Caenorhabditis elegans: one gene and its partners. The protein of the gene in region 1 interacts with the protein of each later gene in a pairwise test. Each region holds a gene or a part of one and is shown on either strand. Other genes may lie near its edges. The genes, in order: nmy-2, unc-45 and itr-1.

What was found.
Region 2: the proteins of nmy-2 (region 1) and unc-45 interact in a two-hybrid assay, tested with the Caenorhabditis elegans proteins (one study listed by BioGRID).
Region 3: the proteins of nmy-2 (region 1) and itr-1 interact in a two-hybrid assay, tested with the Caenorhabditis elegans proteins (one study listed by BioGRID).

The regions. Positions count from the first base shown.
Region 1 is NC_003279.8:7,930,944-7,936,512, forward strand, and holds the start of nmy-2 (Myosin-11), read right to left. Parts: upstream 3,635-5,569; 5' UTR 3,601-3,634; coding exon 3,556-3,600; intron 3,505-3,555; coding exon 3,202-3,504; intron 2,756-3,201; coding exon 2,571-2,755; intron 2,520-2,570; coding exon 2,294-2,519; intron 2,247-2,293; coding exon 2,084-2,246; intron 2,039-2,083; coding exon 1-2,038. Other genes in the region: T22C1.1 (UBR-type domain-containing protein), read left to right, coding at 5,323-5,380, 5,523-5,569.
Region 2 is NC_003281.10:489,498-495,012, forward strand, and holds the start of unc-45 (UNC-45/Cro1/She4 central domain-containing protein), read left to right. Parts: upstream 1-2,049; 5' UTR 2,050-2,051; coding exon 2,052-2,140; intron 2,141-2,191; coding exon 2,192-2,319; intron 2,320-2,365; coding exon 2,366-2,492; intron 2,493-2,909; exon of another isoform or gene 2,910-3,338; intron 3,339-4,071; coding exon 4,072-4,150; intron 4,151-4,219; coding exon 4,220-4,348; intron 4,349-4,857; coding exon 4,858-5,498; intron 5,499-5,515.
Region 3 is NC_003282.8:7,673,097-7,678,804, forward strand, and holds the start of itr-1 (Inositol 1,4,5-trisphosphate receptor itr-1), read left to right. Parts: upstream 1-2,077; coding exon 2,078-2,156; intron 2,157-3,435; exon of another isoform or gene 3,436-3,585; intron 3,586-4,382; coding exon 4,383-4,485; intron 4,486-5,708. UniProt on the Caenorhabditis elegans protein: Receptor for inositol 1,4,5-trisphosphate, a second messenger that regulates intracellular calcium homeostasis.

The DNA of each region.
Region 1 (5,569 bases):
TCAATTGAATTTTTTTCGAGCAACAATTTCTGACGGCTTCTTTCTTCATCTTCAAGATTCTCTTCGAGATGTCTAACCATCTCCGTCAATTTTCGGGATTCAGAATCAGCCTTCTTTGCCTTTTGCTCTTCGATCTCCAGTCTCTTCGAAACTTCTTCAAGGATTCCTTCAAGTTCGTCTCTCCGAGCAGCCATTCGGGAACGTTCCTCAAATATTTCAGCTCTCTCAGACGATTCAGCATCGAGTCTCGTCTTTAAAACCAGCCGCTCCTCGTCCATTTTTTCCATTTGTTGCTTGTAATCGGAGATGAATACCTCGGATCTACGAAGCTTTTCAGCTGTCACTTTCAGTTCTTGTTCTCGCTCAGCAATTAATTCGTCTTTGTTGGTAACTTCGAGAAGTGGCTTCACTTTGGTCAGAAGTCTCCACCATTGCCATTCACGCAGTCTCATCCATGCCAAACCATTTCTTTGAAGAATTTTGATAGCAACTTCTTGTTCTCGTCTGCGTACCATCACTCGGCGTCCTAGCCATCCACGACATTGAGCTTGGAAAGATTCAATAAGAGCGGAAAGCTTCTGATCACGCATCTCCTCAAACTCAGCTATAACTCCAGAACGGAAGAAGATCTTAGATTGACCAATACGGAAGAGGTTGGCGTCAACTTCCAGATATTGAACAATACGATAAACGGCGTTTTTACCGTCCATGAATCCAGCTGGGTTGACATCAGGGGCAAGAAGTTTCTCGTAGCGTTGACGGAATTCTTGGAACGGGAGCCGCGTAGGGAATCCTTGACGGCATATACGAATTCCTTCCAACACTCCGTTGCATCTTAATTGATCAAGAACAAGATGAGCGTTGAGAACTCCATGTTTCTTTTCGTGATTTGGAATGATGCAGCGAACAAAGTGAGGATTGGTGTTATTGAGAGTACTCATAAGACGAGCCAATTGTTCTTTGTAAAGTTGAGAAACAGTACGGAACATTCCCTTCTTTGGAACACGAGATCCAAATACTCCGGTATCTGAAGTACTGTCAGCAGCTGACAAACTGCAAACATCAGCGATATCTTTCCACATGTCGACAATAAGAGATTCCTTTGAAGTTTTGAGCACATCAATCACATTCTCATTCAATGGATCCATGTTTTTCACGCGCCAACCTTCAGATTGATAGTCGACTCGGCCCGCATAATGAACAACGGCAAAATCGCTTCGTGAGCGAATCTCTGGAACGACGTACTTCGGATGTTGAGAATGAGTGTTATTGAGGCGTTGAACAAATGATTGATCATTTCCTTGTGGGAATAGACAAACATCATCAAGAGTTGACATGATTCCCATAGGCTTATCAATCAAGTCAATAGTCGGTTGAAGATTGAGGCCGAAATCCAAGAACTTCCACTCCAATCCTTCATCAAGATATTCTTGCTGTTCACGAACGAACATTGTATTGTTGAAGAGTTGTTGAAGTTTCTCGTTAGTGTAGTTGATACATAGCTGCTCGAATGAGTTTGTTTCAAAAATTTCAAAACCAGCAATATCAAGAATTCCGATAAAGCTGACAGATTGTTGACGGGTCCGATCGAGAGATTTGTTGAGGCGATGAACCAACCATCTGAAGAGTCGCTCATACGAGGCCTTCGCAATGGCTCCCACAGAGAAATTGACTTGGTCTACGCTTTGAGCTCGATGGACCAAATCCCTTTGAACCTTGATTTTTGGCTTCAAGAATGCACGCATCAATTCGGTAACATTGACTCCGAGAAGTGAAGCGATTTTTTGAGCAACAGCGTCATTGAGCAGAACAGCCTGATCGTTATTCTTGTTTTCGTGAGAAAATTCAAGATTTCCAAAGAGCATAACTGCCGAGACAACTCTAAGTATTCCTCCAATCTCTTCGTCGTTCAATCCCATAATTGACATGGCATTCAGTGTTTCCTTCATCTCTGCTCCATCATCAACTCCAGCCAATTTACTGTCACCATTTGAGACAAACTTGTACTTGGATAGGCTGTCTTCTAGGAGATAATGTTCTGAAAATAAACGAGTTACGGTATTGTAGAAACATTTAATCTCACCTCTCTGTACTTTTGAGAGTCCTTTCAGCAACTGGTAGAAAATGTGGAACGATCGCTCATTGGGAGCTTGTTTCAGCACGCGAGATTTCTCCAGAAGATAAAATTCAATATTCGCTCCAGAAATGCACCCTGTGCTGTCGAAATGAACGCGAATGAACTTTCCCTAAAAAATTTAACGATGCGTGCATTTAAAAAGTTATGATCACTCACAAATCTACTGGAATTATCGTTCTTCACTGTCTTACTGTTTCCGAAAGCCTCGAGTATGGGATTTGCTTGCAAAAGCTGTTCCTCAAGCTGGCCCATGATCCGGTTTGTAGATGTGTCCAGATCAACGGAAGTCTTCCGATTCTTCACCATCGACCGATTTGCCACATAAGCCAAATACTGAATCACTTTCTTTGTATTTTCAGTCTTTCCAGCTCCCGATTCTCCACTGAAAAAAACAACACATTTCAGGATAATATAAACTCGTATATTAACTAACGTGCAGAGAATTGACTGATCATCTCGTTCTTGAAGCATGCTGCGGTAGGCTTCATCGGCAACAGCAAATATGTGTGGTGGCATCTCCTTTCTCTTTTTGCATTTGAACTGTTCAGCAATTGTATCCGTGTAGATTGGAATTCGTTTGTATGGATTTATTACAACGCAGAACAAGCCAGAGTATGTCTGAAAATAATTCGATTGATATTTATATAAATGTATAAGTTTTTGCCTTAAATAAATATTTGAAATGTTGCAAAGGTCATCAGGATCTCTTGATTATTAAAAACCAACGACCGGTTGAGACGTTCTGCATATTTTATATCTCACCTGATAAAAAGATTATCAAACTACAGAAATAACTGTATTCCTTCTTAGAGATAAAGGTCACAGCAAGGTTCAATATAGGAAAATCTCCGGGAATGGCAGAAGCCGGTCCATTTACAAAATTTCTACTTTGAAACTTATTCTATAATTTGAGCTGGTTCCTCTGAGTTAGGGGGTTAAATCGCCACAAAGAATTGCTACGAAAGAAACCGCATCTTAGGCTTATGTAAACGCCAAAAGACGACAACCAGCTTGACGAGAATATTTATATTCAATGAAGAATTGTTAGCTATCGACAAACTTACGTAGTAGAGATTCGAGAAATATCGTTGCTTTAGATTATGAAGAACCGACGCTTCATTCAGACACGTCAGCATTGACATATCCTCGCATTTGTCATATTTCGGAGGATTTGGCTTCTGGCAATCATCAGACGAAACACGCTGCCGTTCGCCAGTCTCCATAAGCTCAATGTCGATAGTTCCGTCTGCATGTGGTTCCCCGATGACAGCTCCAAGTGCGAATCCATCCTTCTCACTGGGTACCCACATCAACTTTTTTTTCGCCCAATCTGCCGAAATCGATGGATTGAGGAAGTCTGTCTTGGCCTGAAAATTAGAAATAAAGCTATAACTATAAAAATATTTGAAGAAACATACTCTCAATTGGTCAATCTCATCATCTTTTTGTCGAGATGATGTCATTATTACCGCTGGAGCTGTTGTTGTAATCAATTAGCTGAAAAGTTAAATGGAATAAAAGGCGGGTAATCTGCTTGTCCCATCTGACCTGACCTCTGGTAACTGTGGCAAAACGCGTTTTTGATACACGACGTCCCGAAAATATTTTCAACATAAAATTTTTTAGACGTCAAATTTTCAAATCCACTTGTTGCTACGGCTACAGAGTTCTACAAATTTAGGGACACGCTGTTTGATAAAATAAGTATGTGGTAAGAAGAAAAACAATAAGGTCATGGCATTCACGCGAAGAAAAATGAGTCGTGGAAGCTAGTTCTCAAAAACGGGTTTGATAATATGCATAGGCTCAGGTGTCAGCATTATCCCTCAAAAAAGGAAAGAGAAAAGTATTTCAGGAAAGGCATTCCATAAGACTATTCAAAAACGTTACGCAATTAAATTCGTAATTCGATTATGAACACGAATTCGCAGTGCGATTCACCAAGGTTGACTATTGGAAACAGTAAAATGAAACGAAAAAAGTGAGCACAAAGATTGAGAATAGGGTTCACACACCATCGAAATTTCGATTTCCGCCCACATCAATTATCAGCGTCAACAGATAAAGCAACATACCTCTTGTTTTTGCCCAGCCTACGCTTTTATTGATTATTTTTAAAACTAGTTTAAAGAAAGGGTCAATTTCTCAGAGGCCACGATGGCACGCGACTTATAATTCAAAAGTGAAATAAAACAATCTTTTTCTCAAAAATCTGTTAGTGAGAAGCCTTTCGTATATCAAATACTTCCCACAAAAGGACGATAATGGAAGCGCAGCTGTGCCGATTTTCCAGCTGTCTTCCCTCTACCGCTGACCCTCTTTTTTAACTGGCGTTCTCCATTCCGCCATTGCATTGATAATACGATGGGAAGCGCTAGTTCCGTGGGAACCATCCACTTTTGGTAATGTACGAACCGTTCGGTGAATTTCGCAATATTTTGGTGTGAGGTAAAGGAAGATGCGCCGAGGGAAACAAGGGTCAAAACGAAATGCAAACGAATACCCATTCAGGCCAAGCGTGCGCGCCGAGAATGAAGAATAAACGGACGGGATAGGACACGAATTGGCTCTCTCAACTTGTCACAAGTTACCGACATGAATGGTGATTCAGAAAACAGAACAGGAATCTTTTCGTGGTGACGCCGCGGCATTTGTATTGGGTTTGGCGCCAAAAATAGTAGAAATGGTGCGCGAGGATGATTTGAAACTGGCGCCCTCGGCTGTCGCGAGACCCGAAGAACTCGGGGGATGTTCAACTGGGGGGATTACCAACTCGGGGGATTGGCCCCGCCCACAGAACCGTGGCTTGCAATACGCCCATTTCTGCAAATGCCGCACGGTTTTAAAATCATTTTTTCTTGTTAATCCTCGCTCTATTGATAAAAATACAGTTTTAAAACCGTGCGGCAGTTGCAGAAATGGGCGTATTGCAAGCCACGGTTCTGTGGGCGGGGCCAATCCCCCGAGTTGGTAATCCCCCCAGTTGGACATCCCCCGAGTTCTTCGGGTCTCGCTGTCGCTGGACACAGTCTGCATTTTTACGTGAGGGTGCACCAAACATATTTGAATTGTACACCATTACGCCACCTTGCGGCCGTAAGAACTCGTGCTTTAATATTGAAGCCTCAATTAATTTTCCTGCATTCAACGAAAAAAATAACTCACTTTTTTTTCAAATTTCAGATATGGACGATAAAAAGGAAGAAACACCATCGATTGCTCCTGTTCTTTGTGGAGAAGAAGGTAGATTGAGTAAATAAAATGCTGAACATCGTTCGAAAAAAAGATTTGCTTTAAAGCCAGAACTGAGTCAATAATATAAATTTGATTTATTTTAATAAAAATAAATGAATAATTATTTAAACATTGCATTTTTTTCTTTCAGAGGAGGCAGTCACCCTTGGTGAAATCGTGGAAACCATCGATTATTTG
Region 2 (5,515 bases), on another chromosome or scaffold:
ATAAATTTTTAACAAATTGAACGTGGCTGCAAAACCTTGTAAGATATGAATTCTCATTAGCTGAGAAATTAAAATCACAGGCTTTCGAGAAAAAATTGGCGGGAAATTCGAATTTCTATTTAAAAAGTTTACAATATGCTAAAAATCTAGACAAACTTTAACTTTTCATATAAATTTGGCGGGAAACTCGAATTTAAATTTTTTTTTTTCAAAATATTTAAACAATTTTTTTTTTCTATTTAGAAGTTCAAATATGAGTTATTTGAAATTTCTTTTTTCTAAAAATTTTGCACGAAATTCAAATTCATGGAGTTCGCTCTGGTTCAGTGGCTGGTCTTCTAATGAATTATGTTTGTTTTTTCGAACATCGAAAGGAAATAAGCGGGACTCATTTCATTGCTTCCTCCTTCATTGCTTCCTCCTTTTCTCCCTTTCGAATTGTACTACGAGACCCCCTTTGTGCATTATTATTTTACCCCCATTTTCCACCCCAAGACAGTCTCAAGTTATAGGAAATCTTCACATGATTTGCTCACAGTGCATGCACACAAAAAGTTATAAGATCTGAAGAGAGACGCAGACAGATTATTCAAACAGCAAGGGCTCCCACCACCGGAGAGGATCTGCGGATTCCGCCGTAATTTTACACTATCCGTCGGGGGCCGGACACTACTACACTGCCCTTTCCGCTGAACAGACGTTTCTATTCGTTTTTCATCGATTTTTGCATAAAGTTCGGGTTTAGTGGGTTTAGTAAACCTAAGAATTTCTAGGTTTTTTATGAATTTTAGGTCCTTTTTTTGAATTTATATAATTTATTTTAATGTAAATACTATGAAATTTTTATTTTGATTTTTTCCGAAAAAAAAATATCAAAAATTCCAGAAATATTTCAGCCGACCCATAGCCGCCGGGTATAGCACTAGAGCCTCACGGCAGTACATATTTATTTAGAAACTCTAGTATTCCACGTGAAAAAATATATTTAAATATACCAGAAATTTTGAAGGAGTTGACGACTACAGTACTCCTTAAAGGCACACGTTTTTCTGATTTCAAGAAAATTTATCGGTTCGTGCCGTAGTTTTTGAGAAATCCGAGTGCCGTAGTTTTTGAGAAAAAATTTTCCTTGTGGTTGCCCATATAATTATTTTCATGACGAAAATCTGAAACGATGTTTTATGGGTCTGCTAAATATTTATCATACCCAACTTTGGTCTGCTAAATATTTAGCATACCCAACTTTGGTCTGCTAAATATTTAGCATACCCAACTTTGGTCTGCTAAATATTTAGCAGACCCATTTGGGATATTGAGTTTATCCTGAAATGATGATTTCCTTTGTTTAAATCCACTCAAATTCCGTTTTTTCTCTGAAATCCTCTAATCCCCTGAAAAAAACCTAAAAATATATTTTTTTTACTATATAAATTCGGATTTTTCCAGAAACCCCACATATTTTCGACTTTTCCCGAACTTTTCCCACTCGTTATCTCTATTTCTCTTCTATTCCCTAGGATATCTCTCCCGCCTGGGAGCTTTTCGAAAGCTCCAGAGCACCTGGGCGGAGCTCCCGCGGCAACTGGATTTTTTACCGTTATTCTTCATTCATTTTTCCAGGACATTAACAAATTTTCTTGCAGTGAAAATTTTTATTTCAAAAAAAAAGAAAAGAAAGTCAATTTTAGGATGTTATACATCTCCAAAATTCGTTAGTTTTAGCTTTAAAATCAAAGTTTTCATAAAAATTAAATTTGAAATCCCTCCAAAAAATAGTCTGCGCTTCACACTCTCTAACACGTGCCGGTGGAGCGCGCTTGCATTTTTCCTTTTTTGTTAATTTTTTTTTGCGGGAAACTTTTCGGGAAAATTACTCTAAAACTCAATAAAAACAGCTTTTAAGTGCATTTTTCTTGAAAATTAGTTTCAAAAATGATATTTTAATCAGTTTTACACCATTTTTGTCGATTTTTCCTCTTTTATCCGTCGAATTAATAGTATCTCCTGACAAAAATAATGATTTTATAGTTTTTTTTTTTTGGTTTTCAGCAATGGTTGCTCGAGTACAGACTGCGGAGGAGATCCGCGACGAGGGAAATGCTGCAGTTAAGGATCAGGATTATATAAAAGCTGATGAATTGTTGGTTTTTCTGAAATTTCAGTGGAAAACTGAAATTAAACTGATTTCCAGATACACTGAAGCTCTCCAACTCACCACTGACGAAGACAAGGCTCTTCGGCCGGTTTTGTACAGAAATCGAGCAATGGCTCGGCTGAAAAGAGACGATTTTGAAGGAGCACAATCGGATTGCACGAAAGGTTTACAAAAAACCTGGAAAATTTGCTGAAAAACCTAAATTTACAGCTCTGGAATTCGACGGGGCCGATGTAAAAGCTCTCTTCAGACGATCGCTGGCTCGTGAACAGCTTGGAAATGTTGGGCCAGCTTTTCAAGACGCAAAAGAGGCTCTGAGGCTCTCGCCAAATGATAAGTGCGTGGAAAAACTAGGCGAAAACCGATGAAAATTAAAAGAAAAATAATTTTTTCTGGCACTTTCCAGTTATATTTCAAAGTTTTTATGACCAAATTTCAGTGAAAAATGCAAAAGTTGCAAATTTTGGGTCTGCTAAATATTTAGCAGACCCAACCTCCCGAAACTGATTTTTAAAGCTAAAAATTATTAGAATTTTCAGACGTTTCTCTCCGAAATATAGCATGCCAATAGAAAAATTGACAAAAATCAAGGTTTTCTCATCGAAAATAGCAAAATAACTTTTAAAAATCTACAGAAACTCACAATTTTTGTTTAAAATGCCAACATTTATAAATTTTCTAAATATTTAGTTTTAAATTTGTAATTTTCTCACTTTTTTCTGTGAAAAAATATGCAAAATGAAACTGAAAAATCCACTAAAACATGTTTAAAAATTTATCTTGAAGAAAAACGTAGGAAATTTCAAATTTGCAGCTAAAAAATCAGCGAAAAAATTTTTTTTTCAAAATTTGAGGAGGTTGGGTATGCTAAATATTTAGCAGACCCAAGGAAAAATATTTAGCAGACCAAAGATAGGTATGCTAAATACTTAGCAGACCAAAGATAGGTATGCTAAATATTTAGCAGACCAAAGAAGGGTATGCTAAATATTTAGCAGACCCAAGGTGGGTATGCTAAATATTTAGCAGACCCAAGGAAAAATATTTAGCAGACCAAAGATAGGTATGCTAAATATTTAGCAGACCAAAGATGGATATGCTAAATATTTAGCAGACCAAAGATGGGTATGCTAAATAATTAGCAGACCAAAGATGGGTATGCTAAATAATTAGCAGACCCAAAGAAAAATATTTAGCAGACCAAAGTTGGGTATGCTAAATAATTAGCAGACCAAAGTTGGGTATGCTAAATATTTAGCAGACCAAAGTTGGGTATGCTAAATATTTAGCAGACCAAAGATGGGTATGCTAAATAATTAGCAGACCAAAGTTGGGTATGCTAAATATTTAGCAGACCCAAGGAAAAATATTTAGCAGACCAAAGATGGGTATGCTAAATATTTAGCAGACCCAAGGAAAAATATTTAGCAGACCAAAGATAGGTATGCTAAACATTTAGCAGACCCAAGGAAAAATATTTAGCAGACCAAAGATAGGTATGCTAAATATTTAGCAGACCAAAGATGGATATGCTAAATATTTAGCAGACCAAAGATGGGTATGCTAAATAATTAGCAGACCCAAAGAAAAATATTTAGCAGACCAAAGATAGGTATGCTAAATATTTAGCAGACCAAAGATGGATATGCTAAATATTTAGCAGACCAAAGATGGGTATGCTAAATAATTAGCAGACCAAAGTTGGGTATGCTAAATATTTAGCAGACCCAAAGAAAAATATTTAGCAGACCAAAGATAGGTATGCTAAATATTTAGCAGACCAAAGATGGGTATGCTAAATATTTAGCAGACCAAAGTTGGGTATGCTAAATATTTAGCAGACCCAAGATTTTCTCACAATTCCACTTTTAAGCACTTAAAAATTCAATAATTTCACTCAAATTTCTATTTTTCAGAGGAATTGTTGAAGTTCTTCAGCGTCTCGTAAAAGCCAACAATGATAAGATTAAGCAGACCACTTCACTGGCTAATAAGGTTGGTTTTGTGACCTGAAACCACGAATTTTAAATGAATTTTCATTGAAAAACCCCGAAATTTTCTCAGGTAACTGACATGGAAAAGCTAGCGTTCCGTGGTGAGGCGAAGGACACCGAACAGAAAATGACTGCGTTGAACAACTTGTTGGTTTTGTGCAGAGAATCTGAATCCGGAGCAACAGGAGTTTGGAATCAGGTATAGTTTTGGAAGCTGGACGAAAAATCTACATTTACTGGGAAAATTTAATGGAACTTAAAAAAAAATTTAAAAAATGGAAATAAATTGAAAAATATACCGTATATTTGAAAAAAAAATGCAAAAAAAAACTGAATTTTCTAGATTTTCAGAGCAATTTTCAGATTGTTTTTCGAAAAATTTTGCAGTTTTTATCTAAATTTTTCCGATATTCCTTAAATTTAATTGTCGAAAGTTCAATTTTAATTTTTTTAAAGAAATTTTTTTAAACTGAAAATTGTAATTTTTTGTAGATTTTTAAAATTTATTTTGCTACAACGAGAAAACCTTAATTTTTGCCAATTTTCCGATTTTGTAGAAACATTTGAAAATTCAACTTTTTAGCTTTTAAAAAATCAGTTTAAAAAAAATTATTTTTCAAAATTTTAATTTTATCAAAGTATCCCGAATTTGAATATTTTCCTGCAAAAATACCCAAAAAAAAAATTCTAATTTTTCCATATTTCCAGGGCGCACTTGTTCCATTCGTCCTGAACCTAATCAACGACGCATCGGAAAACGAGGAGGTTACCGTAACCGCAATCCGAATTCTCGACGAGACCATCAAAAATAGCGTCAGATGCATGAAATTCCTAGCTATGCACGACCCAGATGGCCCAAAATCCGTCCGTTTTGTGTGCCGGCTAATGTGCAAAAAATCCACAAAAGACTTTGTGGATGCCACTGGAATTCTGGTGCAACGTGTCTTCAATGCAATGGCTAAAATGGATCGGCAAAAGGAGATGAAGCCGGATCCAGAGGTGGCAGAAGCCAATAAAATCTGGATAATTCGTGTGCTCTTGGAGCTTCAAGAGATGCTTCAGGACCCGAAAGTTGGTGCAGTTCAGCGTGAGACGTGCATCGATTTATTCCTGAAAAATCTGATGCACATGGACGGTGGAATTCCACGTGGATGGTCGTGGAAGTTTGTGGAAGAACGTGGATTGCTCGCGTTGCTTGACGTGGCAAGTCAGATACCCGAACTGTGTGAATATCCGGTTTCTGCGGAGACTCGGCAACACGTGGCAATTTGTTTGCAGAGATTAGAGGAGGATATGGTTTTTGATACGAAACGGACTATTTTTAAGGAGAAAGTCGATATGTTCTTTAAGTACGGAACAAGGAAAT
Region 3 (5,708 bases), on another chromosome or scaffold:
AAGTTGATGTAATACGGAAGAGGTCCACTGGATTTATGTGAATGAAGAATCAAAAGATTGTAAAATGTTTAGATATGATGAGCTACAGGGTCAAAGGTGATTTGATACACGATTTTCGAGCAGAAATGCTGACTTTTCGAAATCTCATTGTTGTTTAATCAATCACGGGATGTACGAAAGGGATCTTGGTTTTGGATTTTTGAAAATCAAAATATTACAGGAAAATATAATGCAAAACTAGTACAGACTGTGAAAATGTTTCTAACCTTGATTTCTGCTCCGTCCAACTGTGAAATTACATTGTGTGTCAATTTCAAAAACGGTACGTGATTTTTTAGTTCTGGTTTTTAAGTGAACTTTATGTATATGAGCTCTGAAAACAGGAAAATAAGGGAAAATTAATAAGGTAGTCAGAATGAAATATTGCAATTCGAACATAAGCATTTAGTTTGAAACAACCCGTATTTCCCTTATTAGTTTTGTAGCTTCTAGTTTGTCATGCACTGATTTTCCGACAGACCGGCTATACTCTGTGGGAATTTCCGCAAAAATTAAATTTAAAATTAATAGATGAGATGTGGTATGTAGTTTTAAAAAAGTCGATGGATTCAGAAAATGCTCAGAAAAATCCGCGCATTAATTTCCAAAACTATCACATTTCAGAAAAGTATCAAACATCATATTTTTGGAGTCCAATACTACTTCTTCATTTCTTTTTTTTTTTTCTTTTCCACTAGTTTTACAATAAAATATATTGTTTTGTCCTAATGAAGCACATTTCATTTTGTAATGTTTTTTAACTTTCTACTGTAGGATATTCTATTCCGTAATCGTACAAATCTTCTTTCTCTCCCAAATTTAGGCTGCGCCCTGTTTCAAAGCTCTGCTAATAGTACGCAAAACAAATGTATTCGCTAACTCTTTCGCTCATTTCGGTATAAGTGTCACTTGGAGATCTCTTCGTCTCTCGCAACCCGTATTTGTATTGTTTATCTTCCAAAATGGTAGTCGACTGCTCATATGAATTGAATTACTAGCGGGATATGAAAGAGACATGAGATTTATAAAAAGTAACTGAATATTTCAACTTTTGAAATTGAACTTGTATCATTTTCGAAACTAAAATGGAAAAACAGGAACGATATTACTTCATTTTTCCACTTAAAGATGGAGTAGCAAAATTTGGGTGATTGTTTTTAGAATCAAAATTGATCCTAAATACCTATTGAGACAACTTGAAAATGTCTCAAAAATTATTGTATTAGGTTAGTCATTCTCTAAAAGAAAACGGGCAACCCTTCAAGTATTAAATCATTTTGAGCTTGAAAAGAGAGAACATTGTTCATTAAAATTCATGTTTGGGCTCCTAAATCTACAAAAAATATCACATTTATATTTTCGGCAATTCTGATTTCCTGTAATCGACAATTTCAGCGATTGCCGAAATCGTCGAAAAGTCGATTACCGAACGGCAATTGCTGCATGCTATGTATCACACCGTTTCAGCGTTGTGTATCGTATTTGTTCAAAGATAATTTTCTTGTAAATCTCGATGTTATTGACTACTGCAGCTAATACATTTGAATTCCCATTAATTCCTTTAATTTGATAAGTGTGACTTGGTTCCCGTTGCCCACCATCTTTTGTTCCTTTCCTCCTATCTTCAAATCAAACGCATCTGGAATCTATTTTTTTCATTGTTGTCTGTCTACCGATGCCAACGATCTGACCTTTCTTAATTGGTATTCGCGCTCATTTTGACATTGTGTCAACTTCAACTATTTGCGCGGGTTTACCTGCAAAAAAGTAAACAAGAAAAATGGAGATGAAATGAAAGAATTTCCAATAGAAATTTGTTGTTGAAAACTCTCTGAACCATGAGACCGTCCAAGACGTTAACATCAAATCTTTTCAATTCAGAAACGTTTCCTCTTTTTCTCCTTTTGTGACACGTTTCCTCCGTTCTTTTTTGGAGAGTCACTATATTTTTAATACGATTTTGCTTTACAATTTCTTTTTTAAACTTTTATTGATTTTGTGCTTCTTATTTTCCATTTTTCATAAAAAGTATTCCAGAATGAATCCATCATATGGCCGGGTTCGTAAGAAAGTATCCATTATATCTATTCCAGAGTTCGTTCCCGAGCATTATGAATGTAAGTTTTTACATTAAAAAAAAACTTCTAAAATCTGCTTCAATTAACGATCTTATTTTTTTTCAAATTTTCACCGATAAACTTAAATCTAATTGATACGGTTAGCATTGATGAAATCACTGAAAAATGTACAGGAAACTCAGAACTTTCTCAGTTTCAATGTTTCTTTTTAACCTTAAAGGTTGAGTAGCGAACTATATTTATTGTTCTCAAAATTCAAAACCAACGTCTAAATAGTCTCAAATTGAGCCTAACTTATTTGGCCAACGCCCCAGAAAAAAAACCAACAAGAAACACTTAATAAAACCACCAAAATGTGTAAAATGGAAGTTAAAATTACCGGGCGCCATTTCACAGGATATGTTTTGTTATTGTTCGTGTTAAAAGTTGGTCCATAAAGTAGATTTGAATATAAAGCCAAACTTTTGAGAACCGGTTTTGATTTTGACTATGATGAAAGAGTTTTGAATTAAAAATATTTAAAAAAAAAACACTTTTTTTCAATTCTTCTAGAAAAAGTGCATTTATTGACTCACCGTTAGAGCATATCGATAAAACAATAGACAAATACAATCATATGGGACATCAACCAGCAAAACACTTTAAAACACATTTTTGTTCCCGGAGGTCTCTATTTTTTCTTGTCTTTCAAAAGAAAAGGGGCACCTGTAAGCGGCTTACGTACCGTCTTGGTTGTCTATTGATGTATGTGAGGCATATACATCTATTTCATGAATGTTTCAACAAACAAAATATATACCGATTGTTGTGTCTCTTTCTCTAATATTTTCCTGGTAAACGATATGCATAAATTTCTGTTTCTCTTTCCTCTTTCCACACATCTGTTCGTATTATTTTACAAAATGAACTTACAGATGTTTTTTTGTTGTCTCGTTGGCATCGTAACTAATCGAAAATGATTGATGTTCGAACACGAATATCATTATATTTATTGTCGTCTTCATCTTTTTGTCGAATAGTTTGTATCGTTGATTTCTAACATTAGACGTCATCGAATCGTTCATCAAATTGTCGACCTGATCAATTTCTTTTTCTCTCTATTTCTCTTTACACAACTTCAATCTCTGAACTGTAAATTCCAAATTCGATTAAAAAGGCTAGAGAGTTTGATCGTTCTGGTTTGTGACTGAATTATTTGATGAAAGATCTAGTACGATTAATATGTTCATTATCAAAAGCTAGATGATCATTATTTGCCATTTTAATTCAAAAGAGGAATGATCCAGAGACAATGCATGAAGGAAATGATAATTAACTTGAAAATTATTTGGTATAAACGCCTTAACAGGTTGTGAAAAATTTAGGAAAATACCGAAATCGACAATCATAATAAAACACTCCACAATTTTTGATTTGGTGAAATTTTGTAAATTGTAGATTTTTCAGAAAGTTTGGACTTTTTGAGTAATTTCGAGCATTGCTACAGATGTGAACCTCTAGAATATTTGAATAAAAATAATTTCAATTTTCATGAAATTCAAAATTTTATAAAAATTGTTAACAATTGCCGACTTCCAAAATAGGTGAAAAAATTAAGTAATTGTCACTGTTTCACTGTAAGTAAAAAACTTTGATAATTTTTTACAAAGCTCTGCTAACTATAAGATATCCGGTAATTTCAATATTATTGGGCTGATTTGAAACAACTTCCTCACTGGCGATACTTTTCATTTAACTGAGTATTAAAAAGCATGAGCAAGTTGCCAACCAACTTTTAAATAAAACATATTCCCGTTCCGTGTATATGTTTTTATATTGCCGTTTCTATTCAGTTTTTTGCTTTCCTTTTTTCCAACATTTTGCTCATAAAACAACGTGCTTCACAGCTGTGATTCGTTGCATAATCGTCTTCAGCTTCTCGCTCATAAAACCAAAATGTTTTAGATGTTTAGTTGTCACTTCATGGTTTTTTTTGTTTTTTTAAATAGCTTTTTTGAGTTCAAATCCTTGCATGTTTCTGAAAATTTACACGCTAACTAACCTATCACTCCTTATTTCAAAATTAAAAACAACTTCCTTAAAAAAATTAAAAACCGTGTCAAATGTGATTTGTGTAAAAGAGTGTGGTGTAGAAGTGACACAGATCGTTAAACTTTTATAGTCCTTTTGCTTTGAGCGTACCGTGCCGTCGATCATCCGATGTGAAGAAATTGTCTAAAAAATGACAAGAAAATGAGAAAATGTTTAGTTTTGCACAATTTTCAGACGAAAACGAAACGACGGCCAGTGGAGGTGCTAGTGGTGGTGGAAGCACACGAATTGAATTTGATTTTGATGATTTTGAGGAACAAATTATGAGGAAATCCAGGTTAGTTTGTATTCTTGAAAAATCGTATTATTCGAAGAATAAATTGAGTGTCATTTGGCTGTTTTGTTACAAATCCTGTTTTACTGTTATCAAAAAAAAAACAATTGAAAAAACAACGTGAATGGCGAGAATATTCCTGTATCAACAAGAAAAAAGAGCCTTTTCAAATTTGTTTGAAAAAGAAGAAACGCTGCTCATTCTCAAGTACTTTGTATATCGAGATGGTCTCCTGGTATCGGTATCACTTTGGAAAAAAGTACAAGGTCGCCGATATAAAAAGGGTGTAATGATCATTTATTTGAGGTATTTTTGATTGGAAAAAATTTTGGTAAACTATTCTCGAGTTATTTTTTTTCTCAAATCATATGTGCTTCTATTTTTGAATTAACTTGGAGATTCGAATAAATCAGTGAACTATTGCAAGCAATACTAACTTCCAATTAAATGTTGAAGTAATATGTATCAATTTTGAATAATAAAAATGCATGTGAACCTGATGAATTTGATTTAAATCTAAAGTTAATGATACGTATTCTTATAACCGATTTATAGTAAATCCTGGCATATCCAGATTCCAAGGTGTATCTCTTTTGAAGGGGAAGTAACAGTTTTGAGTTGTTGCTTGAATAGACTCAAGATTTTCTCAAAATACTGAAAATCACAACGAGAAATCTCGGAAAATTTTATGGCGTTCAAAATTATTTTTTGGTGCAGTCGCACAATTTGATAACCACCTCTAAATAAAAAAATCCCTATAAATTTTAAAATTTATTTTAAATTTTAAATTTTACGTAAATTTTCTGATGAAGTACTTATCGCAATTTGTGTTCCCATACTCCTTTTTTCCAGACAATGGCAAAACTAAATAATCCGTTTAATACTATTAGTTTGATTTTTTAGACTGATAATATTAATTTGCAAACTATCATTGATGATTCTCCTGTTTTAAACAGACTATTGTGGTTAGTTCCGTTTGTCACTTATTAATCCAGAGTTATGGACAAAATTAGATTGAATATAAATTTAAGTCCATTACTGAGTACCTTGTTACTTCCGAGTTTTCGAGTTGACCGAGAACAATATTTGGCGACCTCTGAAGCGTGACGGAGATGATCGAATATTGCTAATATATTTGTTGAACTGTTCATGAAGTTCGTTCATATTTTGATTGTTTCGGTATCATTTCTTTTTCCTTCTCCTCCATTTTTTTTTCCGTCACGAAA